Tamandua tetradactyla: one gene and its partner. The protein of the gene in region 2 binds, or shares a complex with, the protein of the main gene of each other region. Links are inferred from orthologs where the notes say so. Each region holds a gene or a part of one and is shown on either strand. Other genes may lie near its edges.

Region 1 (16,108 bases), on a different chromosome or scaffold from region 2:
GATGAATACACAACTCTCTGATTATACCAAGCACCACTGACTTACACTTCAGATGGATTGTCCAGTGTATTAATAAAGCTGTTTAAAAACTAGGGGGGAGGGCAGAAAAAAAAAATTTCAGGTCTCTAATACAATAAAGAATTTTTTTTTAAAGCACTGTCAATTTAAAGTAACATACATTTATCGGTATATTCATATCTCATTCCAGAAAGGATTTAGCAAGCAAACAAAAATGGATAGCAAATTTATATATCATCAAGTTTTTACTAGATTTTAAGATTTTAAAGTATTTCGCTGTTTTTATAACAATACAACATATGTACTATGGCAAAATTGCATTTCATTTTCTAACATATTTTTAGAAAGAAATTTATTCTAACTTAAATATTTGATTTGCTACTGTGTACAGGAAAGAAGTGATTTCACAGTAGGTAATTTGTTTCCATTTTTTCTTTTTTTAAAAATTTTGTTATACTTTAAACATAAGCAGTATAGACAAAATCAACTGAAACCGGGCAGGCGATGGTGACACCTTGGCAGAGTTCTCTCCTGCCAAGCCGGAGAACCGGGTTCTCGTCCCAGTCCCTGCCCATGCCAAAAAAAAAAACAAAAAACAAATCTACTGAAATCAATTTCAAGTTACTGGCCACATTCAGCTGCAAAACCAGAATTCTGTCATACAGAAATTTAATCAGATGACCTTCCATGTGCATATGGAAACCTACTTGTTAACAATTTCTAACATTTCTTTCATCTGCAACTAAATCTAAACTAAATATCATTAAATGTAGAAACAGCAACCTAAACAATTATTACAACTCTTTTACCTAATAAAGAACTCCTTCCTTCTATATAGAGCCATGAGAAAATAAATAAATAGACATGAGGCTGGTGTGGCTGTTAAGTGTCACTGGAAAAAACAAAGTTTGATCCCTGACTACCTAACACAAGCTCTTTGGTTTAAGCGTGTTACTTAACCTCATTCTCTGTTTCCTTAATAAAAACGTCTCCTAATCTAAAAAGTTTTGAGAACGAAGGAAAAAGGACTGTAAAAAGTGCACTGTCCAAATGGTGGCAACTCATCTACTCAGTTATTTGAACTGATATTTAACCTAATTAAAATAAAATAAATTAAAATAAAAAATTCAGTCACATTACCATATCTCACGCATGCAATGAGCACACGTGCTAATGGCTATCATATGGGACAGAGGAGGTACAGAACATTTCCATTATCACTGAAAGTTCAGTGCAACTTTAAAGCATCTAGGACAGAGCCTGGAAACTGGTAGCTTTTCAATAAAACATAGCTATTATTATTATCATGCTATGCCAATGTCCTCTCCCATTTTTCTAGCAAAATAAAATTGTCCTTTTAATTTATGACTAAACAACATATAAGTCACTCGAGCAAAAGTACAAAAATATATTTATTAAGGATGTACAATATTTAAAGTACTTCCAATTCAGATTTTTTTCTCGTAATTCACATTAATATATGAAGAAAGGAAGAAGCAGCAGCAGTAATCACTCTTGACGGCAAGGCATTAGGGTGTGTTTAACTTTTCAAGTGGGCTAAAACCTAAAAAGGTGTGGATTTCATTCTATCCTGGCATCCTCAGTTTTCTTATCCCTCAATCTAGAGCCCAAGAAAATGCAATAAAGATCTAGAAACACTCCTCAAACTATCTTGATATACAAACAAGATCAACAGTAGACAAAACTCACAATTTTCTAGTGACTTAGTTTTCAAAATTGTTAAACCAGTGTGTAATTAAAAAAAAGAATTCTAACAAACAACTCTTCTTTAAACTAAATGTATACATAAAATATATCACATTAAATTTACTCCCCCTTTCTCAATAGGCAAATTATAGACAAGAAATGTTATACAGGCATCTTTTACCAACTTACAACAATAATGTAACCAGAAAACACTGAGTTGAGTAAGGAGGAAAAAAAAAAAAAGGAAAAACCAAATATGCAACACAACTGAATTTTAGATAACTAAGACCAGATCAACCCAGGCAAATCCAGTACAGAAACTCTAAATTTTTTGCAAACTAACGTGTAAACCAAATTTCTATTGAAAAATAAATGCAAAAAACATTTCATTATTTTGAAACTAAGGTCTCAAACTTTTTTAAAAATTTAAACTAAATTAATTTCCTATATACAAAGAAGTATGATACCACTAACAAAATAGCAGTTCAAAATCTGAAGGCTGCTAGTATAAGTTATCAACCTAGCAACACTTGATAACAAGACTTTAGAGTATATCCAAGTTTTCTTATATTGGGGGTGGGAGGGGTAGGAACTTAAAAACAAAAGAGCTAACAATACAAAAGCTGAGGAAGCAGAAGCAATTTCAAAAAAGCAAATACTAACTTTTCTTTGCATTGTTTAATAATATTTTCTGCATTCCTAATGTAAGAGAATAAGGACATTATATCCTCTTCATTTTTCTTTCATTTAGTGATTTTCACATTTCTCAGAACTTCTAAACGTTTGCATACAAATTATCACAACAAATCTTTTAACACTGATTTTAGTAATGAACTTAAAGGTTCTGCCCTTCCCACTATCACCAATAAAAAAAAGGAAGAAAAAACAGTTTAAGATGCTTGATCAAAAATTGATGTCTATGAACGGTTAAATGGTGATACATTCATATCAGCAATAAAAAGGAACAGACTACTGATACACACAACAACTTGGATCAATCTCAAGGAAATTATGCTCAGTAAAGAAAACAAATCCTAAAAAGTTATAGTTTTAACATGGAACCCAGAATGGAAATGAGCGCTTGTAATTCTGCATAGCTTAATGTAATACCCAGATACATCCTAGAGTATGCTGAACAGGTAATAAAAAGTACTGGCAAAGTCCCTTGAGGGTCTGGAGAAAAAAATATGGAACTATTAAACTTTACTACTGAGAAACCCCTGATACTGTGGCAAACATTAGGGACTCCCAAGTCAGCAGGTCAAGCCCTTGATCTTGAGGCTTGCGCTTGAGAAGTTCATTTATGTATTGGAAAAGCTAAGCCTACCTATAGTTATCCCTTAGAGTTACTATCAGAGGACCTCTTTTGTTGCTCAGATGTGGCCTGTATCTCTCTACGCCCAAGTTTGCAAGTAAAATCATTACCCTCCCTCCTATGTGGAACATGACATCGGGAGGTGAAAATTTCCTGGCAAGGTAGGATATGACTCCCAAAGATGAGCGTGGCCCTGGCACTGTGGGATGACAATGCCTTCCTGACCAAAAGGGGGAAAGAATCGTAACAAAGTTTCAGTGGCTGAGAGAGTTTAAATAGAGTGGAGAGGCTTTTACACAAGCTTCAGCTAGCTACTGCTATTTATCATGGTTTGCCAAACCAGAAACAAAACCATTCCTGCCAAACCTAAAGAACACCTAGGGCTTTATCTGAGATTCTACAAAGGTTCCATGCACTATGATTACTTTCCCGAAAGCTACAACCTCCAGATGGGTTCCTAGGCCAGATAAGTCCTGAAATCCAGAGCAGCCAGCCCTTGTAAAACATCAACTAGTTCCACCCCCCATCCCAGTTAGAATGGGCATAGCCCAAATACCCCTAAAGATTGGAAGAAATACCAAAGAAGGTGGAGTTATAACAAAGAAGATAGGATTTAACAAATTAGTATGACTGCTGAATCATTATAGGATATTACTTTTAGTCTCCAGTGTCTTGGAGCAGTGAGAAAGAAAAACCTAAAATTGTGGAACTGTAACCCATACCAAACTCTGAAATCTGTCCTATAACCAATTGTTACCGTGTGCTTTGAAATTTATCCCTTTTTTGTATATATGCTATTTTCACAATAAAGAAAGTTATACAGTTTTATTCCTTTTACATAACATTATTGAGATTACAAAACTATAGAAACAGAGTGCAGATTAGTGGTTGCCAGAGTTTGGGGGGAGAAGGGATGGAAAGGAGGGGATGTGTTTCTAAAAGGGCAACAGGAGATACTCTTGGACTGATGGAACTGTACTGTATCTTGACTCTAGTGTGGATGTGGCATCTATACTTGTGATAACACTGTAAAAACTAAACACACACATACATGTGAGTACAAGTAAAACGGGAAATCTGAAGACTGGTAGACTGTATGAGTGTTGTGATACTGAACTATTATTTTGCATGGCATTAACATGAGGGGAAACCAGGTAAACGTCATAGGGGATCTATTACTCCTTACAAAATGTGACTTTACAATCCCAAAATAAACTAGGAAAATCTAAGTATGAATTGGATATTAGAAAATATTAGGAAATAACTGTTAACAGTATTATGATTATACAGAATTTCTTATTCTTAGGATACTGCTGCTGAAGTATTTAGAGGTGCAGTGGTTTTGTCTGCCAAGTCACTTTTAAATATTTTATATTTGGGAAAAGAAAGCAAATATGAAACATGATAAAATGTTATCTATTTACTTCTTGCACTCCCTTCAACTTTTGCTTGAATTTTTTCAAAAACTGAGGGGAGGAATTAAAGATATATTGCTATCTCAAAACAAGGTTAGTCCTACCTACAAACGAATTAGTCCTTTAAAAGGTTTAAAAACAACTGCTCTAGTATAACTAAGCTATAGTCCCACCTACACTCCAATTAGTTTTAAAATTAAGAAGTGGCACTACAGGTTTCAAGTGATTAAAAATTATATGGTATTGGATGCTACTTTGTAATATGTTTTTCAAGATGAACTGACTATATCTGTAATGTATATAGTTTTGCAATATCAAAGTTGATTCAACACAGATTACTTTTTATTTCTAGAAAAACTGGATCCCAGGAGTACTTCAACAAGTGAAATAAATTCTAATTGCAAGAGTAAAGAACTAACACTTTCATACACACCCCCCAAATCTTAAAAGGTTTAAGTTGAACAAAAACAGGTAATTCTTTCAGAATGACTGTTTGCATAAAAGGGACAACCCACACACTGAACGCCATACAAAAACCTGCTACAATGTATTAATTATAGCGCCAAGGCTACAAGTCAAATTTTACATTGTAAATAGTCATCCAAACATCATTGCATCTACGGATTTATGCAAGTTGCACACATTCGAACCGTAGGGAATAAGTGAGAGCCATCTCAAAAGTTCTATATTCTTTTTTCCCTGCTGCTAAGTTTTGGCATCATTATACACACTTAAGTACAAAAGAAAAGTCTGCTTAGAACTTTCAACTAAAGGTACTTAACTTTTCACTTCCTACCGGACCGCCCCCTTGTAATGGGTTCTACCTTGTGAGGAGAAGGATGAAGGGGTGGGGAGGTTTCCCGCTCCGAAACTAAGAAATAAATGTTTCTTCCCTACTCCAGAACGGAGGGAACAAGAGAAGCCAGTAAGGCTGCAGACTCAAGTATGCAACTGATTACAATGTTTAGAAAGCTTCCTTTCCTTTACTACTCCCTCCTATCTTCCTTCTCCCAGGTCATTCAGTGGCCCCAGGATCGGCGGAGACAGGTGAATTCTAGGAGGGGAAGAAATGGGGAGGGACCATGGAGAGAGAGCCGCGCTTAGGCAATGAATGAGCCGTGCTGCATCGGCACCACCTGTTCCTTTCACGGGTGCCGCCCAGGCCTGCTGGTCAGCGTTCCCGCACAACCCGGACCGCGACACCAACCCGTGTTGCACGCTTCCCACCTAAAGGCCAGGCCTTGCCTTCCTTCGCTCGGGGACGAAAGGAACGAAAGTCTAGAAGCCGGCAGAATGGGGCCTAGTCCGGAACCAGGGCCTCCGAAGCGTGGTTATTGGAAAGCAGGTTGACGCCTGTGGTGCCCGGTGAGCGGAGAGAAGTGGAAGCCACAGGGAGGGGACAAGAGAGTGCATTCCGCCTGACTAGAACTACGAAAGCAGGGTCCCCGGCGGGGGTGGCTCGGTGCTCTCCTGACCGAGGTTACGGCTGACAGGCCCAGGTAGGGGCTAAATCCTCCCCAGTGCGTGCCGAGACGCTCACACTTACCAAGATCCGCTTGAAGAGCGCGTTCTCCTTGGGCGGGAGGCTTACGGCCGGCATCGTTCCGGCTCCTCCCGCTGCTCCCTCCACCACCCGGCTCGGTCAGTCTGTTTGTCCGACCGCCGCCGCCGCCGCCGTTCCCTGGCTGATTCAGCCTTGAATACCCCGACTGCCACGGCTACCAGGCCTCAAGTGTTCGCCGCGTCGCCCCACCTGGACACCCTCTTCCCTTCGTTGTCTTTTCTCCTTTCTCACTTAACGCTGCTGCCGCCGCCTCCCCCCAGCCAGTCCCCGTCGGCGGTTCACGTGGTAACTGAACAGACCGACAGAGCAGCCAAAATGGCGGACGCGGAGGGCTTTCCCACCCGGGTCACACCTCCGAGCACGCAGGCGCGGTGACCTCCTTTCCCCACCTCTTCTGTCCTGGAGCTTGCCGGGAAACCTGGAGGCTGACCGGCTCGCGGAGGCTGTGAGGGTCGCGGCAGGCATTACCCTGTCTTTTATAAGCTCTGACCTAGAAGCCCGGGATAAGCGAGGGGGCTAGAAAGGGGCCAACTCTGCCTCCAACCGCCTCCTCATCAAAAATAGGCTTTCTGCACTTTTCTGCTAGGAGGGCCTTTCATTCATTGGGTGGACGCTCCTTGAACCGTAAGTGCTAAACTGCAGGTGTTAAAGAAGCGCTGTGGTTGTTCGTAGAGGAAATGCCCAATTAAAAAGCAGAGGCGGAGTGGAAATGAGGCTTCTGCATAATGGGGACTTGGGAACTGATAGGAATGCCGGGAGGCTTGATAGAATTTGAAGAGCGTGAGGGAGGCTTGAATGGGGTTTGGTGATTCGACGAGTATTGCTTAAGATGAACCTGGAGGGGTATGGGTGATTTGAAGAATATTCTTTAAGATGAACCTAGAGAGGTAGTTAGCCCAATCCGTCGTGCCGTATATGCCCTTAGGACAGTGGAGAGTTCAGGGTCATTGGCTTACCTAGAGCTGGCCGTAAGCTAGTGCTTAAAAATATTGTGACTCGTTGAACTCTGCATTACCAGCAATTCCCAGACTTTAGAAGCCGATGAATATGCTAGGGAAAATGACTGCAATGGACAAGGTCGGACAGACAATACCGAATAAGGTCCCTCCCGCTCAGATTCTAGTAAACAATGTATATACGTCACTTCACTAACCACCGACAGTAAAATTTTTATCAAAGTGGCATTCCATTGATGATGCAAAACTTTTCACGTTCTGTCAACCATTTTTTACCCTTGGTTTTTGATGATCTCTCTCCAGATCAATTTGATCTGTAGCATTCTTTGCATAATAAGCCAATAAACAATATACTCGTGGTTTTGTTTCTTTTCTTTTCTTTTCTTTTTTAATTTATATAGATAAAGTTTTCAGCTCATTCTTCCTTAACCCTCCCTGGGTGGTGTGAGTTGAATAAGACTGTTCTCAGTGGGAATAATCTGGTACAAAAATTCGGATTTTCTAGCTACTATTTCAAATGCCCTCTCCTTTTGCCTGGGTCATATGAATAAGGTTGCATCATTCAAATCCTGGCATTTCCCTGAAATTTGTGGTTTCAAAATTTCATTTAAAAAATTGTAGTTACAGAACCCCTGTGTGGGTTTTGGAATATGACCAGTTCCTTAACCTTAATTTTTAAAGATTAGACAACTTAGAATTCATGAAAAACAGTTGTTATTTAGTAATAACCTACAAACTTCACTACCTCAAAAAATCTTTCTATCAAATTATCTGAACTATTAAATGACAGAAAAATTTCCCAATTACAGGTGATAATTTTAGCTTAGCTAACTTGGGCTTCCAAACCCTTGGTTTCATATCCCAAAATCCCTACAGCAGTATTGTTTGCTATGGTTTTCTAAATTTCTCCTGTAAATAATATATACTTTTCCCCTTGGGAGAAGGAGATTTCTGATCTTTGAAACAAATAGTGGTTTCCACCCGAAGCTGGGTACCTGAATGATATAGTTGGGCAAATGTTACTTTTTTTTTTTTTTTTTTTTTGCTGCTAACAAACAGCAATTTTTAGGACTCAGTCACTGCTATTCTGATTCAACATTTATCTGATTCATATCCTAGTTAAAATGCACTCACAGAGAGCATTAGTCTGATCACACAGCCTAGGACTAGATAGCCTGAACTCAATAAAATATCTATTCTGATCACCACTGTTTGACAAATGGAGATCCTGTTAAACTAGAGTTTTGCTGTGAATTGACAGCTAAGCAGGAAGTTATAATGATGATAATCATGATGGATAGTTCATCTTATTCCATGTATTTGCATGTCACTTGCAAAATGCCTCCTCTAAAATATTTTAACTAATGAAAAATAATTTACCTTGCAAAATTTAATTCTACAGAAGGGATATATGGAGTATAATTTCTCCACTGAAAACTGAACTTCATTTATGAAGTTCAAAATGTTCTCTATTGAGCAGGCCACAGCGGCTCACCAAGCAGATTTCTCGCCTGCTATGCCAGAGACCTGGGTTCAATTCCTGGTGCCTACCCATGCAAAAAAAAAAAAAGTTCTCTATTGACACTTTTACTTCTGCATTATTAAATAATCAAATGTCATAGAAAAGCAATATAAAGGAAGTTATATGCTACCCAGATTTAACAAATGTTTATATTTTACTATTGTTTCTGATCTTTTTGTTTGTTTTTCCAAATTAAAACTCGCAAATACATCAGAAACTCCATCCCTCTCCAGATCCTGTACTGGATCTGTAGAATTCTCTTGCATTAAAAATCAGTAAATGGGATGGGCCGCTATGGCTCACTAGCAGAGTTCTCACTTGCCATGCCAAAGACCCGGGTTCGATTCCCAGTGCCTGCCCATGTTAAACAAACAAACAAAAATCAATAAATGAGAAGCATGAGATGTATGAGTTTTTTCTTTTTATCTCTCTCTAGAGTGATGCAAATGTTATAAGATGACCATGGTGATGAGTGCACAACTATGTGATGATATTGTAAGCCATTGTATACTTTGGATGGACTGTACATATATGAAGATACCTCAATAAAAATATTAAAAGAAAAAATCAATAAATGATAGATGTTGTGGTTTTGCATTTTTAAAATTTTACATAGATATTATACTGTTTGCAACTCTTGCTCTTCCTTAACCTTCCTTGGGAAGTATGCATTGAGTAAGACATTTCCCAATGGGAAAATCTGGAACTAAAACTTGCCCTTTCTCTTTGCCTGGGCCATAAATAAGGGTTTTAGCATTAAGTATCTTGGAGCTACTTAAATGAATATCATGAAGCAACTTCTACCAAAATATCATAGCTATTAGCTTCTGGCTGGAATTGCTTCAGCAGGATTCTTTCCATGATGGAGTTTCACCTGCAGCTGCCCACAGCAAGTATAGGGTTCCATCAGCTCTAACATACTGAGAAAAATGCACTTACACTTCATCACTTTCCCAAAATACACACTATTAAAGGATACAGGAACCAAAACTCTGACAAAAAAAACAACACGATCTTTCCCAACATCAGTAATGAAGTTAGTAATTTGCTAGCTGACTAAGCACGTCTTCTGTTTCAACCTGTTGGATACTAGTAAAAGCTTTGTCAGGACATGTTTCCAAGAAAAGATATACAGTTTACGTGCTGCTGAATGAATAAGAAGCCAAGAAGCTAGGACCTAATCACTGACTCAGCGCATTAGTTGGGTGGTTTGCTTACTTGAACATGAGTCCCAGAGGCTCAAAACTAGGTCACAAAACTAATAAGTGACTCACAAAGTTAGCAATCCATTTAGCCAACAGTTGCATGTAAAAATGAGCCAAAAGGCATACTACAATTATTTTATTATTTATTCGATAATTTTGGGTTAAAAACACATTTTAAATAATATTTTAAAAATATAGAGGGAGGGGGGAAGAATCTGGCTTACTTGTGCAAAGATAAAACATGCCAGTACAATGTCTTTGACAGGCAAAAACAGACACTTTCTAAGATTCCCAACATACCTTATAAAATAGGTTTTGTGTTATATGCACAAAGAAGTTAAGTAATCTGCCTAAAAATCATAGAACTAAAAAGTGGTGAGCATGAGCAATGCTTTGAACTTGGCAGTTTGAATCTTGCTTTCCACCACAGTCCAGGCTGAGGATCACCAGTTCTGGGAACAGACTTCAGCAGGAATCCCACCTCCCCAGCTGTGTGATCTTGGTCAGGTCCGAACCCATTCACCTCTAAACGCTGGGATTCTCTCATCCTCTCCGGGTTGTAAGACTTCCCTATAATCATGCCGGCACACGATTTTGGAAACTGTAAGAGGTTTTTACAAACATAAGTGATAACGTATGACCTTGGATGAGTAGCTTGATTTCTTCGAGTCACGTCTGTACATTGAGAATAATCTCGACATGTCATGTGGTAGTTGTGAAGAGGAAGTGAGATAATGCATGTAAAGTATATAATGCGCTAAACATAGCGCCTGGGACACAGAACTCAGTCAAAATGCTAGTTATTACTAGTCAACGAGACACTTTGTTTTCAGTTTTCTGTGTCATGTGGGAAGATTTTAATAAAAAACAGTGCCCCTAGGGAGGGGGTGAGAAATAAACTCTCAGAGGTCAGAGAACTGGATAAACTCTTTTTTTTTTTTCTTTTAATCACTTCCTAACCCCTTTACAGACAGACAGAAGACCGAAGCCAGAGAAGTTGAGTTACCTACCTGACCATAACCGCTGCTCGCAGTTGACGTTCCACCGAAAGCGGCTGCGGAGCTGGCGAGTCCCGCCTTTTGCCCGCCAGGGGGCGCTCGCCCTGGCTCGGGCTTAGGCTCCAGGGGTGGGCGGGGACAGTGGGTTTGGCGCGGACGCGGAGGTGGAGCCTAACCCGGCAAGATGGCGCCGTCCGGGTTGCTGCGTTCCTTCTCCAAGCTGCTGGCCCCGGCGCGGTTCCCTAGTGCTCGTGAGTGTCCCTTCTCGCGCAAGCCTATCCGACTCCCCCTACGCCGCCTACCCCTTCCAGTGCGATCCCGGCCCGCGGGGGTAGGAGGCGGTGCGGCCCGCGTTCTCCCTCCAGTGACCTCCCGCCCGCGGCCTAGCGCCTGCCCCTGTTCCCACCTCAGACTCTCGGTTCCCCGTCACCCGCCGCTGACCCAGCACCAAGCGCCACCAAACCCTTCTTGACCTCTGCGAATAGACTTTGGTTTCCCACCGCACACTCCACACTGCAGGTTCGGTTTAGCAGATGCAGGAGAAGAGACCCTCCCCGAAGCGTGTCCTTGCGCTCCCACAGCCGGAGTTGTCTGAGGATCTGTGAGTGGGTAAACTGCACCGTGTAGATGTCCTGGAGGCAGGACTTGCCGGTGGCCCTGGGCGAGTTCATTGATTCCTCTAACTTCTTTTACCTTGGCTGTTGAAAAAAGAATTAAATACGATAACACACACATAAATGTTAAGTTTTTTTTCCGTCGAGGCCCTAAGTTACAGATATGCATACCCCTCTGACCTGTTTCAGCTTCTGTACGGTCAAAATTCTACGTTCGGGAGCCGCAGCACAGCAATCCCGACTGGCTGAAAGTTGGACTGACCTTGGGCACCACCGTCTTTCTCTGGGCCTATGTAAGTACTTGACTCTCACATCGTAAGAACAGATACAAGGAATAAAGAAGAAAGGCAGATGAATGTCAGTGTGAGATTCACGAGCAGGACTCCCACAGAATGCATACTTTTGTGATCGCTAACATATTTCTCCTTAAGGGAAATGACCCCAAGAAATATTAAAATTACAACAGGTGAAGGGTTTCTGTTTCCATAGATGATGCACTTTTGGTAATGGACGGAGGTATCGCAATATTGTGAATGTGATTAAATCCCAGTGAATGATGAGCTTGGGGGTGATTGAGATGGGAGAGTTTATGTTGTATATATGTTCCGCAATTAAAAGGAAAAAAAAAAGCAAACAAACAAGAGCATCTAAAAAGACAATTGTAATTAAATGCAGTATGTGATCCTGGACAGGATCCAACAAAGGAGGCAAAAAGGCTCAAAGGAACATTATTGGGACATATGAAAAAATTTGAATTGGAATATAGTCTGTAAGCTTTATATCAATGTTAAATTAATATTCAAGGGACATACTATATACAGCGTACACTTAAGTGTTCAGAAAATGGATTGATAGACAGATGGATAGATAGAATGATATGGAAAATGTGGCAAAATATAATTAGTGGACCTGAGTATCTGGGGTGTAGGGTTATATTGGAGTTTTCTGTATGGATTTGTACTGTTTTTGTAATTGCCCTGTAAGTTTAAATGTATTTCAAAATAAAAAACTAAAAAGAAATTTTAAAAAAAGAAAAATATTTCAGCGTGGAGAAAGTATGATGAGATTGAAATTCCTGTTCGTTGTTACTAAGTGTGGTATTGTGAGGAATGGCAATTTTGCTAAGTATTAATTACCCTTTATTTCTTAATGATGAGTGAGACTGGTTGGGGTGTTATGAAAGCACTTTTTCAGAAGAAGCTATACAAATGAAATCCCATTAGATTTCTAATACATTAGTTTTTAATGTTCGTATTAAATGTATTGTTGGAAATTGTACCTCGTGTGTAGCAGGCTTTTTTATATCTGGATCTTTACTGTATGCCAAATGCTTTGCATATAAAAACTCTTCAGCAATATTATATGGTAGGTACTATTATTGTTCCCCTTTTGCAGAATAAGAAACAAGCTTCGGGAGATTAATTTACTGAACCCAGTTCTTACATACTTCAGAGGCCACCCTATAGACCATTGTGAAACACTCCCTCTCTCTTTTTTAAAAAAAGTAAACTCAGAGTATCTACATTAGCATTAAATTTTTTTTTTGTATGTCTATTGACTTTGGGGCTTCTCCTGTCGCCCCCCACTTCCAGCCCTTAGAGCTCTTATTTTGTATTTTCTAATTCAAGTGATTCACATCTTTGACATTGGACAGAGTAAGAGATGTCCAAAGTCATTTACAGTTGCAACCATTAGCTAATCATTTTTGACAATATTTGTTGTAGTGAAATTTTGTACATTTTAAATTTCAGTTAAAATTTTTCCCTAAAAGTCTTAATTGCTGCTGAGGACTAACTGTTAAAACTGGATCTTAGATTTCAGTAAATTTCATCCTACATCAATCATCATTAAGTTGCGTATTCTGTCAGGTGGTTTTCCTTCATGATATCTAATACACTTTTACAATTCCACAATTTTAAGTTTTTACTTTTAGCTGCTCTAAGATACTGGAGACTGAAAGAAATATCAATAAATAATTCAGCAATCATACTCTAAGTCATACACTTTTTGTTGGGAAGTAGAGTTGGTCATTCATTCACAGCATCACACTTCTAAGGTTAGAAGTATAGTACACACCCACCAACTGGTCTGGACCCCATTTAATAACCAAGTTCTGTATTATATCTTGATTTAAGCCCTCTGTGGTAAAGTATTCCATCACATTTATATCCCACTGAATTAAGTAATTTATTTGGCAGAAGTTGGATACAAACTTTTAAGCATTGCTTTTTCAAACATAGCATGTCAGATTGTTATGAAGAAGTCTATACATTCATGATTTTTGGACTTTAGGATCTCTTAGTCTTTTATTTCTTATTAGAATAATTGTAATTATTTAATTCTATCCTCATTTCTCTTGCAAAATATGTGTTATTAGTATCCTCCTCCTCTTTAAGTTGCCAGGGAAATTGCATTTCTGCTTTTAATTGTTACTTACTTCTAGCTCATCAACCAACATAATGAAGATGTTTTAGAGTATAAAAGAAGAAATGGCTTGAAATAAGCTTTGGAAATGCTAATATAGTAAGTAGTATATAATTTTATAAAATGAAAAGGTTATACAGTTTATTTAATAGTTATTAGATTTATGCTTTCCAACATCCATATTCCTATCTGTGACAAATTTATTTAATACCTTGGCTCTTAAGCATAGTCAGTTTATTTTATTTTATTTTCATTTTTGATTTTTTGTTAGCATGATCATTACTCTGGATAAATGTTCTCAAAAACAAAGGAAGTTGTGTCTGAGAATGAAACCAAAATCATGTTATTTTCTTAACTCTAGTAGTGTTTACATATTTCCTTCATAGCACGTGACAAGTGTTAATTATTTTTAAAAGTATTTCTTAATTTTTTTTAACATATTCCACATTTGACTGTAAATTCCATGACAGTGGTAACCCTATCTAATTTATTGATCTAATTCTCAGCAACTTACCAGATGCCTGGCACGTTTAGGAGTTTAATGTTTGTTGAATGGATAAATATATAAGAGCAATAGATTTTAAAATGTTTTCTGCATGACCATATCATTATAATCGTCACTACAGCTGGCACCCAAATGGAGAATTACTCTTAAAACAAGCAAGATATTGTGCTTTGCATGGTCTTTGATCTAAAATAGAAAGCTTGTTTTGTATATGTATTAGATGAATTTCTGAAAATCCATTTAAAAAATCCTATAATTAATCCTTTTGTAAAGTGAAAGTCACTCGCAAATCTCAACTGTTGTGGATTAGATTATCTAAAATATTTTTTTAAATATTTCTTGTTAAAATGTAGATAAAATGAGGGGTTGACATTCTTTGTGGATTTGTTTTCTAAATGTTTCCTGTTGCTCTAAGGTGAATTATTTAGAATAGTTTAATTTTAATATTTTTGCTGGCTAATCCTATAGTGTTTCATTTTTTTTCTTCATTATAGGTATGCTCCGTGTAGTGATTACAGCAGTTCCTCTGAATTTACAAATCTTTTGAATTGTAACTATGAAAGAAAAAGGTTATGTGTGAATGTATAAAGTCAGCATTTGTGTATTGCATCATTAAATGAAAAAAGAAAATATCTGTTCTTCAGATAATGCATATTCTGACAACTTATAGAAAATATCAGTTCTGAAGTACATTATTAGAAGTATTTCAATATGGAAGATATATTGGATTAAATGTACAAGTTGAAAAATTTCATCAATAAACAAAAAGTTCAATCTGCTACCTCATGTTGAATACTTGGAGTGATTTTTTAGGACATTGATTATTTTTACCACCTAATGACAGGGTTAGTCATGTCCTCTAATTGAGGACACAGTAAGAAAACTTTTTATGAAGATACATCCACTTTTAATTTCCAGTCGAAACACTAATTCTTTCCTTTCTTCTGACTCCATTGCCTTGGTGTTGGATTATTTACACTTAGAATACTGTTTTTTACTCAATATGTATGGCAGTGCTAATTTTGTAGTCCCTTTTTTGCTAACATAACTTTCATCCAGAGGTTTAGCAAACTTTTGGTTGTTTAAAAAAGGGGGTGTGTGAAAAATGGACACTTGAGAAATTAAACTTCATTTGTCCTTCATCAAAACCCTTTTTTTGAAGCAGTCAAAACTTATTTATATGCCATTTCATTAATTTGTTACTTAAACAGTTAATGTGCCATACATATAAAATTCATTCTTTGTGTTGCAATTCTGATGTTAAGTGGGAAAGTACATTGCCGTATAATCATTGGTATGTGTGTTTTAGGCTCTGCTTATTCTGCCTCATTCTAAATGTTTATTCTGGCAGATCTGGGGCCCAGTATCTTTGGAAGTCACATCTGAGTATATATATTCAGAATTACATTATTTCAGAATAATTATTTAATCCAAATTCAATGAAAGACCAGATACTGATAATAGCATTTTTGGTTTTTAGAGTGCTATCTGTTAGAGCTGGAAAGGACCTTCGAGGTCTTATCAACCAATCTCATAATTTTACAAATGCAGAAACCTGAGAAGAGTGATTTGCCCAGAACAATTAAAAAGACAATGACAAAGGTCATCCATGATCCTGGACAGAATCTAACAAGGGAAGATAGAAGTTCCAAAAAGTTTAATTTTTTTTTAAATGTGATTTTCCTAACACCACTCTGGTAGGCAGAATGATCGCCCCCCACCCCACCCCCACCCCCGCAGAGATGTCCAAGTTTTTTTCTCCAGAACCTATGAATATGTTAGGTTACATGGCAAGATAAAATTAAGGTTGCAGATGTTACTAAAGTTTGTAATCAGATAACATTGAGATGGGAAGATTATCCTGG
Region 2 (16,600 bases):
CACACACATAACTATATAACTTTTTCCCTGTATTTCTGCGTCTATTACCCCTCTAACTTAATTAAAAATATTGAATGATTTGGTGAATGTTAAAACAATTGGACCAACAACCATACATCTCGAATTAACTGAGCAAGGGCATAACGAAATAAAAATACCAAATATTTATATAGCTCTTTTTATACCAATTATAGTTCTTTACTTGTATTATTCATTTAATCCTCATAGCACTCAGTGAAGTAGTTTTCTTATTTGAAGCTTTTCTGATAAAGACTGTCACATGATTAAGTCAGGTAACATACGCCATTCTTGTGAAATATACCCTACATCTATCTACAAGGCAGAAATCATTTTAGGAGGACTTAATAAACCAAACTAAAAATAAAATGTCAGTTTATAACTACCCCTCTGATAATGACTATTATTTTACCAAACATATTTAATGACAATTTTTTATTGTGTGACTGAGGGTTATCACATATATAAAATTGTGAAGTGAATCTATTGTGTTACCTAGATAATGTATATACTTTCCCCTTAGATATTCAAGAACCTAAGACAAATGTTTTTTTCTCAATAATTGTCATCTCTGGCCATTTCAATTCACTCTATCTCCCCCTCCGCCATTCTATTTCTTTTTTCAAAATGCAATTAGTTTTGGTTTTTATACTTAGAGAAACACTACATGTTCATTGTAAAAGTAAAAACACAGTATAGAAAAGTATAAGGAAAGAGATAAATTACCTGAAACGCCCATCCAAATACTTTAAGACAACTACTTAACATTTTGGTGACCATTCAACTCAGCTTGCACATATACATGCATAAACATGTAGTTTTACAAGCACACTTGACTATGCGCAAGAGCCCCTTTTCCTTAGTTCTCTCTTCCAATGTTCATAGACAGTCACATAAGCATATAAAAAACTCATGTTTTTAAATTGTTCTAGAAAAATGGTATCATATGACACACATTTTTTTCATACCACTGTTCTCACTTAAGATGATCATGGAAATCCTTTCAGGATGTATTTGGTGATCCAAGTCACAGTAAGATTTAACTCCCAGTTTTTAATGGCTTCAGAATATTTAATTATATAACTATACCATGATTTACATTAATAATACCCCTATTGACAGGTATTTTCTTTGTTCCTAGGTTTTTGCTCTTGAAACGTTGCTGCAATCAACATTGATGTTAAACCTGCCTACCTACTAGGGCTTTTATTTTTAAGTAAGAGATTATATGCAATGAAATGCTGGATGGAAATAAATATATTTTTTTCAATATTAACAGAAATTGCCTGATTGCTTACCAAAAGCCTGTAACAATTCATATCTTCACTGGTAACTCATGAGAAAATCCTTTAACACACACCCCTGCTAACAGTTGGTTTACCATTTAATTTTTGCTAGTGACAGAAGTAATATTTCATTGTTCATATACTGATAACTAATGAAGTGACAAACTTTCTCATGCTTATGAATGTTTGGATTTCTCTTCTATGAACTTCTGGTCATATGTTTTACTCCTGTTCCTAATGGGTGGACTTTTCCTTAATTTTTAAGAGCTATTACAAATGTTAATTCTTTATCTGTTACATACATTTCAAACGTTTTTCCCCCTTCTATTTATTTTTGTCATTGAAGAATTCTTCATTTCTACATAGTATAATATGTCTATGTTTACTTTTATGACTTTTAGGCATCCCATCTTGGTTTACAAAATCCCCACTATACCTAGATTGCATGTATAAAGAAAATTTATAGGATTAATATTTTAAATATTTTGTTTACATTTAAAGTCTGAATTCTTCCGAAACTGATTTTTGCATATGCTGCAGAGTAGTGGTTTAGTTTTATTTTCTTCCAGAAGGACTACCATATTGGTTATACTTACTAAATAGATATGTCTTTTACTGACCAAATTGAAATATTACTTGGTCATATATTAAATTCCCTTATACAGAGAAATTGTTTTTCCATTTTAAATTCTGCTACATTTATATAGGAGATTAAAAATATATCTCTACCTATAAAACTAAATAATACATGCAGTTATCTGAATAATTCAGAGTATTTTTTAACTGAAATTTCCAAGTAATTAAGAATAACTATTTAAATGGCTTAATTCTCCACATTACTTAAAAAAAAAAGTTTGCTGCCCAAGGAAAACTTATTGACTATAAAAACTAAAATATAAATTATACTTATGGAATTTAAATTGTCCATAAATTTCTAATGTAAAGAAAATTATTTTGATGCATTTCCTTACAATTTATTCTATATGTATATTACAATTGCATAGTTTTTTATCATGCCCTTTCTTCAATTTTACAAGTATTTTTCATTTTAGTCTTTTCTATTCACTTTTAAATAAACACTTAAAAAAATTAACCTAAGAAATAACTACAACAACATGCAAAATGTCTAGTTGCTTTTCATTCCTCAAACACACCTGAAGCTATTCTGCACCATTCAATGTACCACCCATTTCATTTTCAATGAAATAAGCTTAATTATTTTTTAGGAGACACACAAACTGTGGCAAATTTTAAGTATAATTTAAAAAAATGTTTTCCACCAAAGAAACAATAGTTTCTAAAGATAGCATTAAGATTTGAATCTTGAAATTTTATTGTAAGTTAGTCATATTAATATTCATACAAAAAATAAGTGACAAAAAAAGAAAAATAAATTAAAAACAACAAAAAGAAAAAAAAAAAACAAGGACCCCAAAATCACAGAATACAAGAATTAAAGTGCTTAAATTTAAATCTGAATACTTACAATATACCATCAATTTTTGTAAGTGTTTAATCACTTAGGCTAAACAGAGCTAACTACAAACAAATATACAAAAGGGTCAAATAAATTAAAATAATCATTAGATAATTTTATTTATAGCAGTGACTAATATATGCATTCATTTCAGCTGCCTTTACATAGACATATATGAAAATACTTGCTATACGTACATTACATATATAATATAAATATACTATACATATAGATGAATAAACTTATATAAACCAGTCATGTCACAACAGGAATAAAGAAAATAGCAAAATTTTAAAGTCTCTACAGAAAAAGAACTTAAAGGGAAAACATTCTTATTAGCCATAAATTATTCCTTTATAATAGAGAACTTGACATTAAAGATTCATTTATTTATTTATTTATTATACTCACAATAAAATCTTTCCTTATAACAAATTTGCAATTAACTTTTTTCAGGATTAAGGTTTGAAACATAAAGTCATGACAGCTATACTTCAATTATTATTTGATTTACTGATATTTTCCAACACTAATCTGTGAGTCACCACTTTAAAGAGGGAAAAATTTGTTATAATTCATTTTTCCATTATGTGCTGCTTACTTCTAGTCTATTTCATATTAAAAAAAAGATATGAAAGTTTAAAGACAACACTTTTAACTTTTAATATAGGCATTCATTAAAAAACGTGCAGGTCTGTACAAAACGAACAGGTGTGTGTACAAAATGTTTAGGTCTGTACAATTTTAATATTTTTCTATAATTCACTGTATAGACAAAAATTTAGGAATAGAAGAACTGCTTCCTTAAATTGATTCTACATATTAATGGTCACCAGCAGAGAAAATATTAAGTTACTGCAGTCGCTAAAATAATGGACCTTATATTGATATGTTTTAGCTCCAACCAATAGAGCTGTTTCAGAGTCTCTGCTAGAAGTATATACATATATACATATTTTTCTGAATAGTCTAATTTTAAATTCTACCATCTCCTTCATATCCCAAACCTGGTGCTCAAAAAGAGGCACTACTCACTTTTTAGGCTGTCTTGCGTGCCTAAGAAATTCAGTACAAAAATATAGAAGTAGGGGGTACAAGGGCAGTTCAGTGGTAGAATTCTCGCCTGCCATGTGGGAGATCTTGGTTTGATTCCTGGCCCATGCATTTACCCCCTACCCCTCCAAAAAAATTTTTTTTCAACAAATGGTGCTGCAATAATGGGATAGTCACAAGGAAAAACAATGAAATGTAACCCCCACCATACACTATAACAATACATAAATACATACATACATAAATACATAATATATGGTAGGTATCAGTAAAGTTAATAATAAAAAAAAATTAACAAAACATGTACTAGCACTCTATATTCACGATCTTATTTAATAGCACCTATGGAGATTTTACCCAGGAGAAAACTTAATCTTAGGTTAAATAAACTGTCCAAGGTCATACATCTAATAAGTTGTTAGGGCCAGAATTTGAACCCAGCTCTGATTGGAAAATCTATTCTCGTAAAGTCTGCACTATATTGCTTTACATTTACATACCACGTTATTTTAAAATTATTTTCATATAGATCACCTAGGGCTTATCTCACCTGAATGCACAATAACTTTGAGAGGTAGGTTCTTAAATATCAAACCCTAGCTCTCCAATCCTAACTTTACTTAAAAGGACATATAACTAAAGTGGCATGATTGAAGACCTTATGATTTTAGTATAATGCTATACCATTTGTAGCACATGCAGAAACACTTTTTCCAGTTAGTACAACTTATTCCTCTTCCTTTCCCTCCCATATTTGGATGATAACCAAACCTTTTATAAACATTTGTTGTGAAAAGAATTACAATGATCACTGAATTAATCATAAGTTCATTTAAGGCTTATGTCTATTCTACTGACAAAGATTTGGATGCTTATTATTAGCAATTATATCTGGTACCTAGTGCATAACCTTAGGTGGCGATATGATCAGCAAGAGCTAAAGTTATTTAATTTTCTTGTCTAATTGCCAAATACTCTATAGTCAATAATTTATTCAATACCTATTAGTACTTCAGCACTCTGATGCTAAAACACAACAGCAGTAATGACTCTGTACTTGAACTCCTAGGAGCTTTAGTGAGGAACAGTCTAGCAAACAGTAATTAATAATCAATTCTATTTTTATTTTTTATTTATTTGACATGGGCAGGCTCTGGGAATCGAACCCGGGTCTCTGGCACGGCAGGCGAGAATTCTGTCAGAGTCACTGTTGCCTGCCCGCAAACAGTAATTAAATACAGTGTATTAAAAGTTAAAATAAATTGAAAGTATTGCATAATAGTTTATAGGACTAAGTGACTAGCTCTGCCGGTGGGAAGAAGGAAGAGCATTCTTGGTATGAACAGCAATCTGTAAAGGCAGTGAAATACAAGAAAAACCTCAAAGGAAGAGCAGAAGAGTGTCAGGGACCCTAACGCAAAAACCTTAGGTACCATTTAATACTGAATTGTGGAGCCACTGAATTTCCTAATGAACATTAAGATTTCTGCATGTAACACTCAAACTGATAAAGCTGGTCTCAGAAATGTCTTCCAAGCTTCAAATCACTTTGTGTGCGTGTGTGTGTGTGTTTGTGTGTGTGAGAGAGAGAGAGAGAGAGAGAGAGAGAGAGAATAATTCTGTCAAAGCTCTTTTCACCACTCATCTTTAGCTGCAATTCAGTTACCAATTCCTGCTGCTAATCTCACAGATTTCATCAGTGATCTAAATTATTGCTGTCATAAATTCCCTAAAATTGGGGGAATTGTGAAGTAAAATTGCAGACTCATTCAACCTCTTTCATATTGATGTTTTCCTTTAGTACTCTAAGCTTTTAGCTGTTTTTTCTTTTCTACTTTGGTCATAGCCAGCCAGGACTGGTTTGGACCTTCCACAGAACTTAAGCAATTCTCCTTATTTGGCTGAATGTCACCCAGGGCAATGAAGCAATACTGCTCTTTTTTTTTTTTTTCTGTCCTACAGAGATCAGGAAAGCCTCACACTGGAGCAAATTCATTGATAATACTATATATCTGCAGCAGGCATAGCTACATAAATTATCAAAAGATTAATACTATTGTGGATCTAAGTACAAAATGCCAAAACTGTACATCCAAAGGGGACAATTCTGGTCTTCTTCATTACTAGAGCAAAAAGCAAGTAAGAAAGACCTTTAAAGTTATGTTTTCTGTAAGGAGCATCAATAGGACAGTTTTTCTATTACTAACTTAATATAAAACTATTTTAAAATTGTTTTTATTTCAAAATTTTAATTAACTTTTTGTTCTCCTTAACAAAACAAGTTTATTGTACAAAATTTGGGAGACACAGAAATACAAAAATGAGTAATTGGGTCACATCCCAGTGATAATGATACCATCCTCCTCTTTGACAACTGTCTTTTGAATGGACTATTCATTTACATTGGTTTAACGAGACTTAACTGAGAACATGATTTTTCGGATTACAAAAAAGTGCAAATTAAATCTGTAATATCTGTGAGGCTTTTGGATGTAAAAGAACTAAAGAACTTTCTGAGTTTGCAATACAAACTGAAAAAGCCTCTTCCCTTGAGCAATAATAGTGTTGGGGGCAAAACATTAACTATTGGGCAAGACCTAGGCAAAACAATTTTTGTATTTTCACAAAACACTATTCATTAAAATATGTAGAAGTCACCTGGTATTTCACAAATGGAGAGAGCTAAGGAGGGCTGCAAAGCGCTACTTAAAACTGGTCAAGGATTTGACAGGAAGTAGCATTTAGGTAGGATTTTAGGGAGAAATAGCTTTATGTAAGAAGGTATATAGATAAGGACGTCCAAAACCAGAAAACATGGAGTCAGCAATATCCTAACTTAATCTTATCTTAAATTTATGGTCAAGTAAACTTAATTATATTCCATTTTCAGCCCGATCAGTTTCTGAAGAATTACTTTCCTTTCAGAAAAATCTAGTCACTTTTCCATAGGCTAGCCTGAACCTCTTCCAGTACGCGACGTTGCAACAATCTTCCAACGCCTCTTCATTCAACTGACACTGTCGCATTACCATCACCCCTGTTTTCAAGCTAGCATATATCCACTCTTTTAACAGTCCTCCCTCCCTCTTTTCACCATAAAATCTGAGGTGAAAGGTTCAACCTTGTTTTTAAAAACCTTTCCAGAACCACCCAAAGCATGTGGACACCTACAGAGCCCCTACGGCAGGGATGTCAGATAAAAACCTTATAATTACTGAGAAAGCACGTTCGCAAGCAAGCTCTTCGGTGACTCCGCAGAGAGGGTCATCCATATCAGTGACATTCTCTACCAAGCCTATCTCACCACAGACACTTCTTCCTCCAGGTTTTTTTCCTACTTCCTCGCTACTCAGCCCCGAGTTGGGGGAAAGGCGGCGCAGGTATTCTGCCAAAGAATGGGCTTTAGGGAATGAGACCGGGCGGCTGTTGCAGACCCCGAGGACTAGCTGAAGCAATACCACTTGTCGAAGTCCCAAGGACTTCCAATGGGAAACCACAATGGCCGCACGTACCCCCAACCCTGGAAAGAGTGGACATTCCAACCCCCAGGTAGCGGGGGCGGCCAAAGTAGGGAGCAGGGCTCAGTAGTACTAGAAAAATGAGCGCCTTTCTGGTGCAGGGTGACAATGGAGATGAAGGCCCCGGCAGCGACGGCCGCCTATCGCACTCCCCCACATCGCCCACCAACCCCTTCTACTATCCCCACCAGTCGCCGATTACCGGTCGCCGTTCACCTGCTGTGGCGCGAGGTGCAGAGACCAGTAAGGACCACGGACGCAGGAGCTCTGTCACCGCGGGCGGGGAAGTCTTCAGCTGCAGAGGGGGCGGGTCTAGACAGCACGTGACCTAGAGCTCCTCCCCGCCGCCTCCATCCGCGCGCACTTCATCTGAGAAGGCTCTATTTTTGTGGATCGTTTGCGCATTAAATTTTTCTGTTTGTGATTAAAGAAGAAGCGTAAACATTTATACAAAGTTTGTGTCATGAAGTGTAACGTAGGAAGCGTACACGACAAGGGTTAAGGTACATGCTAAGGAAGTGACGTCCAAGCCATAATCTAGTGACCGGAAATGGCGATAGAGTTCCCTTGCGGCGCACCAGCAAAATCCCAGGCTGTAAGGTTTGGACCAATCACGTCATCTTAAAGCTGGAGGCATGTGGAGGAAAGTCGAGTAAACCCGCCAGTTAATTGCGTTTGTGTCAAATCCACCTACTTTTATTTAAGTTTTTCACAGACTTATTTACATTTTCGAAGAACTGGTTTCAATAAAATCCTATTAGGAAACAGAAGCATTTGAAGGTCATTCTGGATACTACCAATTAGGAAGAAAGGGTGGGCGACGGTTGATATTGTTAACAGGGGAGAGAAAAAAGGATGAGTGGAAAAAATGGATTCTACCACCGAGGCCCCACAATTAGTGTTAAGGAGTAGGAAAAAGAGAATGCTAGAACGCCAAACCCAGTAAAATGAAGGCCCCGTACTGGAGGGGGAAGGGCGCACGAAGGGAAGTAGTGCGGCTGCGCGCGCGAAACGGCGGACGCGCCGGCGCGTAGAGGGGGTGGGGTGAAAGGTCACGGCGCCGCGGCGGGTCTGGCTGGCGGCGCGGCGGCGGGCTGGAGCCGAGCGCCCCGTGTGCACGTGTGGAGAAGCGGCGGCACCAACGCGGCGGCAGGAGACATCTCCGCCCCCTCTGGAGGCACAGGGCCGCGCTTGATTCTTGCGGCCTCCGACACCCGCTTTAGTTCCCTGCCCCAGGAGAGTAGACTGGCTTCTGGGGTTGAGTGGCCCGAGCTGAGGGCGCGAAGAGCTCAAGGCGGCGGCGACGACGGCGTTGATATCAGTGGTAACGACGGCCTCAGCAGGCGGAGAAGATGAAAGGGTGAGGAAGGGCAACTGGGCTGGGCCTGGTTGGCAGGGGAGAAACCCTGAGCCCGGGTAGAGGGAGGGAGGCAGCGAAAGAGAGGAGAGACTCTGAGAGAAGACAGGGCTGTCGTGAAGTGCCGGGCAGAGGGTGATTGCTGGGCTTCTCTGATCACTCCACTCACGGAGGGGGCGGAGGCGGGGCTCGGGTTGTTGGCGGGCTGAAGGACCAGCGGAGGTAAGACTCGGGAAACCCGAGGATTTTGGCCCAAAGGATAAATGTAGGCTGAACGGAGGTAGCGAATGAGTGGGGCAGCAGGGAAAAGCTATTGTGAGGCGTCTGTGGCCTCCTACCCGGAATGGACGGCCTGAGCCACCGATCAGTGTCCGCCCGCCACTCCAGGTGGAGTAGTCAATTTGTCCTCTTCTCCAGATGAGGATTAACACTGGAACTGCTGTCTTTCACACCGTGCAGTTTGATTCACACTTAGGAACCGTGCAGAACCTTCTGGAGGGGGGGAGGGGGAGGATTAGAATAAAGAGCATGGGTATGAGTATTAAGGGCTAGTGACTCAACTAGATTTGGGTTGGGTCAGAGCGGGTGGGGGAGGGGAGAAAGCTCGAGCGCTGTAGTCCTGGGGTGCCAAAACGTTTAAGGAAGTGTTGTTGATCGGTAGGTGGAGCTATTGCTTCAGTAGTTTACTGTTGCCCCTGACTGCTGAGTGGGGTCTTAGGGTGTTCATCTGATGCTTTTTTCAGACGCTTTGCAAAGTTTTTGTTTCCCTTCTAGTTAAAATTAGGGACTATTTTGATTTGACTGTTTCCAGTTGATAGAATGTCTCCTTAGTATTAAATATAACTCTTAAATAAGAATTATATAAGGCTATATTTTAAATCATTGCCTGAGTTAGTTTTGTAGCTTGTCTTCTCTACCCTCCTTAGAAAAAGAAATGAAAAAAAAATTTTTTTTTTTTTTGCATAGGCAGGCACCGGTAATCGAACCCAGGTTCTCTGGCATGGCAGGCGAGCATTCTTGCCTGCTGAGCCACCGTGGCCCGCCCTGAAAATTTATAAATATGAAAAGGTTTTAAGGTGCCTACGGTTTTTTCTCTTTAGTCAGTTAAATAAGTAACTTTTTGAGTTAGTGAAGTCTTTCAAACAGCCCTTTCGAAGATGAAATAAAGATAAGCTTAAGTAATCTCAGACTGTCTAGTGTGTGTTTATATATGTGTGTGTGTGTTAAAGAAGAGGTTCCAAGAAAGTTTTTTGTTCTTAGGTCTGTAATATGTTTTCTTACAATGATTTTCCTTTAAGTACAGGAAATTATTTCTAATGTTAAATTGTACATTTTGTATTAAAAAGTCTTTGAAATTAAGGATATTATGAAGAAATGTTCACAGTCCCTGCATTATATCCTATCAGTCCAGTAAGGAAACTAATTGAGGGGCTTAAAAAGTGTTTGCTGCATTCAAATCATGATCTAGGAAATGTGGCATGATCCAGCATAATTTGGGAGTGTTTTTTTTTTTTTAATCCTGGTAAGACTGCATTCCTTGAATATGGTTGTCGGCTCTTGTTTCTGTATTCTCATTGCCAGGCTCTCAGTACAAACTTGTCTTGTTCTCTTCAAGTAATAAAAAGGAAACTGAAGAGTTTCCAGTATGAGGCTGCTACAGATTTATAGAAGGGGGACTCTAAGAAATTATTCTGGGTGTTTCCAAATTTTTTGGTCTAGATCAGTGTAATTAGGAAGAAATATGTGTAATACCTAACATGGCTATACAGATGGAGCTATATAGTGGTATTATTCAGGTACTACATTCATTTAATATATCCATGAAGCAACTGTCTTTTTATTTAAATGAATATTTACGTGTAAGAGGTTACTAACTTGATGGGACAGAGCCCCAGAAATGAGTAATTAGCCAAACTTAGAGGAAACCTAAGGCAACACAGCTATTGAATTTGTACTTCATGCCAGCCAGCAACCATCCCTGGAATGAAGATTCCTTAAGTCTAGATCCTAGCACTTCTCATGATTGGGAGCTTAGAAATGTGTTCTTAACTGTAAACCTTAATTATGATTTTCCAGAAATAGTCACTTTAACTTCCCAGATGAACTGAAGTACAGGTAAGATGGTACTTTAAAAAAAAATTTTGCTTCTAAGTCTGTATTTAAGGTTTGAACACAAGAAGACAGTATACATTGTTTACAAGATTTTAACATCATTGAGTTCAGAGACTTAAATCACCAAGCAGAAGGCAATCAGTGTTATAGTCCTGACTCTTGATTTGTTGTCAGTTACTCTGTAGGTTTTGTATGGAATTTTATTTGCTAAGTTTTTATTGTATGTTGAGCTAACAGAACAGTAAGTTGGATAGAATACCTAAAATCTGAAACAATGAAGAACTCCTGATTCTGTATAGTTTAAATATTTTATGTTGTTTGTTTATATTCCATATCTATCATTTTAAACTTTTTGAATTTATCTCATTTTTCTTCATATATCTACCTAGTTTTCATTATTACCAGGAAGAAAATACTCCATTGTGTTAACATACATATTTGCCTTTCTCCATAGTAGAGAATTTCCTATTATTAATTATTGCATGTATTTAAAGGTCCAGTGTTTGAGATCTGTTACAAGAATGATGCTTTCTTTGTACTGAGGTTGCTTGTTTTTATGAATAAGGGACATTATATTTTGAATTTGTGGATGGCAAGCTGATTATTTTAATTATACTCCTCTCCAGGGAAGGTGAAACTCAAGCAAGAAGGTATGCCATAGACATCCATGACTGAGGTGGCAGTTAACTAGTCAATATAATAGAAAGCAGAAGTGAATCCATTTACTCTTCAGTTGTAGAAAAGGGGTATAAATTAGATCTCATAAAAATGTACTTAAAAAAATGCGTGATCAAGGTAAAGATGGGAAAGTAGAGAGTAGACACCAATAATATGTAGTATGTGCAACAATGTAGTTTACTAATTAAAACACTAAAAGTCATTTTCAGCAAATGCTACTAGAAAATAAAATTAAAGTATAAGAATCTTGGTCAGAAACTATGTTGAAGAATTCAAAATAATGGTTACCTCCAACTATGGCTGGGAGGGGACACAAGAGAGTCAGATTCTGAGATGCTAGAAATAGTCTGTGTTTTTCTGGATGTTGATTACATAGTTGTATACATATATTAAAAAAAAAGAAAGCTGTTGCATTGTACACACAATTTATACCCTTTACTGTATAACTTATACTTTTTTAACTTATTAAACAGCTTCTTTTTTCTTAATATTTTATTTATTAGACAGCTTCTTTTTCTTTTTTTTCTTAACGTTTTATTGCTGTTTTTGCCAGCAAAGCAATTTTTTTTTTAAAGCCCTTCAGACTAAAGTAAGAGTCAGCTTTTGTAAACCTGTGATTCATGATCCTCACTTCTGGGAAACCAGTAACTTGTGAGATGCTATTTGAGATGATGATTTTAACAAATACTCTTTAGTGTCCCCTTTGCTATATTGAGGTGAATATACCTGTACTGCAAGTTTTTTTTTTTAAATCAGTGTAATTCCCTATAACTTTAATATAAAGGAGAAATAAAAAGGAAAGTAAATTGTAATGAAATATTTATTTCATTATATAAATGGTCAGCTACAACTACACCATAGGATATAAGAATATCAGATTTCATATTTCTCTGTAAATAGAATAATTTTATAATTTAGGAAGTGATATCAGATACCAACAAGTATATGCATTGGTGGCTCAAGCTCTGTTGCCAACAGGGGTGTGATTTTCTTTTTTTTTTTTTTTTAATAATCCGTCCTCCACTTGTAGTCAACCATGGTAACGTTTTGGAAAAAAAACAAAGAATAATCAATAATTTCTGGGTTGGGAGATTTTTTTTTTTTAAGATTGTCTTTTAAAGATCTTCCAGAAGACAAAGCATTCTTCTATCACTTCAAGATAATATGCCCTGTTTCTCAAACTTTCAAACTGCTGTTATGTGAATGTCACTCCAGATATGATTAGTAGAATGGGGAGGTGGGACTGTTGTCATCATTGTTCTGAATAGTATATGCCTGTTATTGCAATTTATGGTCAAATTAATTTTACACTGTTGTATATTAACTGTACTTTCAACGAAAATCCCTTCCTGAGGCTTATGCAGATTTCAACCATTGTCTTTCAACTGATATCTATTAGTTTTCAACTGATAACTTCATTTTGCTACATCCTCTATTTTGGACTGTGGAAGTCATTTTGTCTCCTGGTTTTGTCTTCCAAACATCAACTAGGACTTTCAGCTTTGTACCATCTGAAGAGATACGCTTTCTCAATTATTCAGATGTTTGTCCTTCAACTTTTTTTTTTTTTAACAACCTCACAATAACCAATAGAACACCAGTAGTTAACTAATAGGAACTTCCTTTCCATCGAGGAATTAATAATTGTTGGATTGTAGTTTAATAGCTACAAAATTACATTGTTGTGCCGTCACCCAAACTAGCTTTCTCTTTATATTTCTTCCTCCATCATTTCCTATTTACATTCATTCAGTATCTAATTTATTGGCAAAGTGTTAGGTCTGTGGTGTCCAATATAGTAGTGGCTAGTTAAAGTGGCTGTTGGGTAACTGAATTGTGAGTTGTATGACTGAGGAATAGAATTTTAAAATTTAATTAAAAATTTTAAACTTATACAGTCTGTTATTGGACAGTTTTTAAGTATGGAATGACTTGGATATGTGGATCTTCTTTTTCAGCTATACATTTTATGAAATATAAATACAGACCAAAATATTTCTAAGGGAAATTACATGAATTGAGATGTGCTGTAAGTGTACTACATACTGGGTTTTGGAGACCCAGTATGGAAAAATATATACTCATTATTAGTTTTTATTTTGATTGCACATTGAAATGATTTCACTTGTTTCGTTTTACTTTTTTAATGTGGCTAGTAGAAAATTTTGAATTACTTATGTGACTTTAAATTATATTTCTGTTCAACGGCGCTGTATTGGACTGTGAAAAAAATGAAGTTGTGTAAAATATGATCTTTTTATCCAGAATCTAGTTCCCAGATGGTAAATGTTTCAACATACAGTCTGACAGTTAATTTGTGGCTATTTATACCTCTGTGGAGGATTCTGAGGCCAGTCCTGGGTTTAGATTTGAGTATTGTCATTCAATCTCTGCTTATAATGGATAGGGAAGGGAGAATTGGATGTATGTATTTGCCTCTCTTTGCTGAGCTAATATAACCTATATCCTGTCTCCATCATTGTTAAAGCTGTTCTTAAGGGAACACTTCATTTTCCAAGACCAGTGGCTTCCCATCTCATTCCCCTATGGTAAGGTAGTGCATGCTTGCTCTTAAAAATACTTGACACACACTTTTAGTTATTTCTTTTGGATAATTCCCTGAAAGTGAGTGTTTTGAATGAGAAGTTAACCACATTTTAAAAACTCTGGTAAAATGTGGTTGCCAATTAATCCTCCAAAGAGACGGTAGCAATGTTTACTGCCTGCAGTGTATGAAAATACTAAGAACATTTTAAACATTTATTTCTTAGTCCAGAAAATGTACATATCCGGTATGTTTGAATTTTTTTCCTGTTACAGTTTGTATAACTTATTATCTGTAGTATAACATGCCTTAATAAAAGGAAATTATAATGCAAAGTGTAATTAACCAATGCAACCAAGTTCTAATTCAGTGTGCCCCTAATAATACTTAGCAGTGGGGTCACTAACAAGTTTCTTGACCTCTGGGTCTTAGTTTCTTTATTTGTAAAAGGAATGACTTAAATACCACTACTCAGTATGTACCGGAAGAGCTGAAAGCAGTGACACAAACAGACATTTGTACACCGATGTTCATTCCACATTATTCACAATCGCCAAAAGATAGAAATAATCCAAACAAGTGTCCATCAACAAACAAGCGGATTAACAAAATGTGGTATATACATGCAGTGGAATATTATGCAGCAGTAAGATGAAATGACGTCCTGAAGCACATGACAAGGTGGATGAACCTTGAGGACATACTGCTGAGTGAAATAAACCAGATACAAAAGGATACATACTGTATAAAAATTCCACATTTATGACCGTGTTAAAGGTAAAATCAGAAGCTTATAATATAGAATGTGGGGAACCTAGCAATACACGGAAACTAGAGATGGGTAAACAGTTAGCAAATGAGGTTGAACTCAGATTAAGGGAATAGATAGAAGAGAAGGCAGTTTGCAAATGGGTTTATGAGTAATATACCATGCTGAAGATGAACATGATTGAAAGGGGTTGTGTAGACCTATGTGTCCCACCAATTAAATTTACAAATATAAGTAAGGTCTTGCATGAACTACCTAAAAGGTATGACTCATGTACAAAGAGTGTATAATTTGGGTTAGGGTAAAAACTACTATTGCATGTTAGGGACTTTGCTTCACAGGAAAACATTAACAGTACCACAACAATATCAGGGGTAGATAATGGGGGGGAGGGCACGAGTTAAGGGGAGGTTTGTATTTTCTATCTGGTGAGGGAATAGATGGAGGTGAAGTAGCTGAAGGAAGCACTAAGAAGAAGAGCGGTGAGTGATGGTATATACATATGATCGAATATTATGCTGCTAAAAAAAGGAAGTTTTGAGGCATGCAACATTGTGAATGAACCTATGGGACATTTGGTGAGGCAAAATAAACCAGAAACAAAAGAGCAAAGATTGTATGGTCTCATTTAGAAAATACTTATAAGAAAATTTGGGCCTAGATTGTAAGCCTTTATAGCAGTAACATTTAGTCCAGAGAAGTATTGTTATTTCTGGATTTTGAGAGGCTGTGCTGTATGTGTATAATCTGGTATTTAGAGATAAGAACAAAGCCGATTAGGTTGAGATTAAGGTAATTCAGAATACAGGGATAAAGAAAACAATGATCTGAATTTGAGAACTTCGCCTACTCTATGAGACTAAAGGAAGAAAGGCTTATTTTGTCCAGAACCTAAATTTTCTGTAGCACATCATCTAACTCAACCTATCTGGATCGATCATTTAAACAACTCAAACCCAGGGAGACCAGAATAAGAATGAGGGCCTGTAATCCTGTATAGTTTAATGTAGTACCTCGATACATCCCGGGGTATATTGAGCAGATAATCAAAAAGTATTGGTGAACACTTGAGGAATGGAATAAAAAATATGAAACCACTAAACTTTACCAGTAGAGAAACCCCTAATACTGTGTCAAATATTGGGGACACTCAAATCAATAGGCCAAGCCCTTTACCTTGAGGCTTACTCTTGTGAAGCTTATTTATGTAGTCTAGAAGCTTAGCCTACCTGTAGGACCTCTTTTGTTACTCAGATGTGGCCTCTCTCACTCTAAGCCCAACTCTGCAAATGAGAGCATTGCCCCTCCCCCTACACAATACATGACCTCGAGGGTGAAATTCTCCCTGGCATCTTGGGATCAACAATACCATCCTGACCAAAAGGTGGAAAAGATGTGTAACAAAGTATTAGTGGCTAAGAGAGTTCAGATAGAATGGAGAGGCTACTGTTAAGCAAGTTTCAGTTAGATATTGCTATCTATCATAGTTGGCTAAACCTCAACCAAAACCATTCCTACCAACCCTGAAGAACACTAGGGCATTTTATGAGATTCTGCAAAGGTTCCATGTACTAGGATTACTTTCCAGAAACCTACAACCTCCATATGGGTCCCTAGACCAGTTTAGTCCTGAACTGCAGAGGAGCCTGCCTCTCTAGAACATCAAATATCTTCATCCCCCATCCCATATTATCGACAGCCCCTTTTAACATGAAAAAATTAGAATGGGCATAGCCTAAATACCCCTAAAGTAAGTGGGAGAAAGATAAAAGATGGTGGAGTTATTC

The links.
Region 1: the proteins of NAA50 (region 2) and NAA15 are in contact, whole or in part, in a cryo-EM structure (PDB 6PPL), measured with the Homo sapiens proteins. The link is inferred for Tamandua tetradactyla from reciprocal best matches to the Homo sapiens genes NAA50 and NAA15. Residues at the interface, in NP_079422.1 of Homo sapiens: Arg5, His14, Asn15, Lys17, Gln18, Arg21, Leu22, Val25, Phe51, Asn52, Ile54, Ala55, Leu80, Pro82, Tyr83, Leu86; in NP_476516.1 of Homo sapiens: Pro369, Pro370, Thr371, Leu374, Ser403, Thr404, Pro405, Thr406, Leu407, Ile408, Phe411, Glu433, Ala436, Leu437, Asp438, Thr439, Ala440.

The regions. Positions count from the first base shown.
Region 1 is NC_135348.1:28,802,042-28,818,149, forward strand, and holds the start of NAA15 (N-alpha-acetyltransferase 15, NatA auxiliary subunit), read right to left. Parts: upstream 6,339-16,108; 5' UTR 6,056-6,338; coding exon 6,002-6,055; intron 211-6,001; exon of another isoform or gene 1-210. Other genes in the region: NDUFC1 (NADH dehydrogenase [ubiquinone] 1 subunit C1, mitochondrial), read left to right, coding at 10,885-10,951, 11,504-11,607, 13,758-13,817. UniProt on the Homo sapiens protein: Auxillary subunit of N-terminal acetyltransferase complexes which display alpha (N-terminal) acetyltransferase (NAT) activity. The NAT activity may be important for vascular, hematopoietic and neuronal growth and development.
Region 2 is NC_135336.1:32,899,067-32,915,666, forward strand, and holds the start of NAA50 (N-alpha-acetyltransferase 50), read left to right. Parts: upstream 1-8,400; 5' UTR 8,401-8,704; coding exon 8,705-8,712; intron 8,713-16,600. UniProt on the Homo sapiens protein: N-alpha-acetyltransferase that acetylates the N-terminus of proteins that retain their initiating methionine. Has a broad substrate specificity: able to acetylate the initiator methionine of most peptides, except for those with a proline in second position.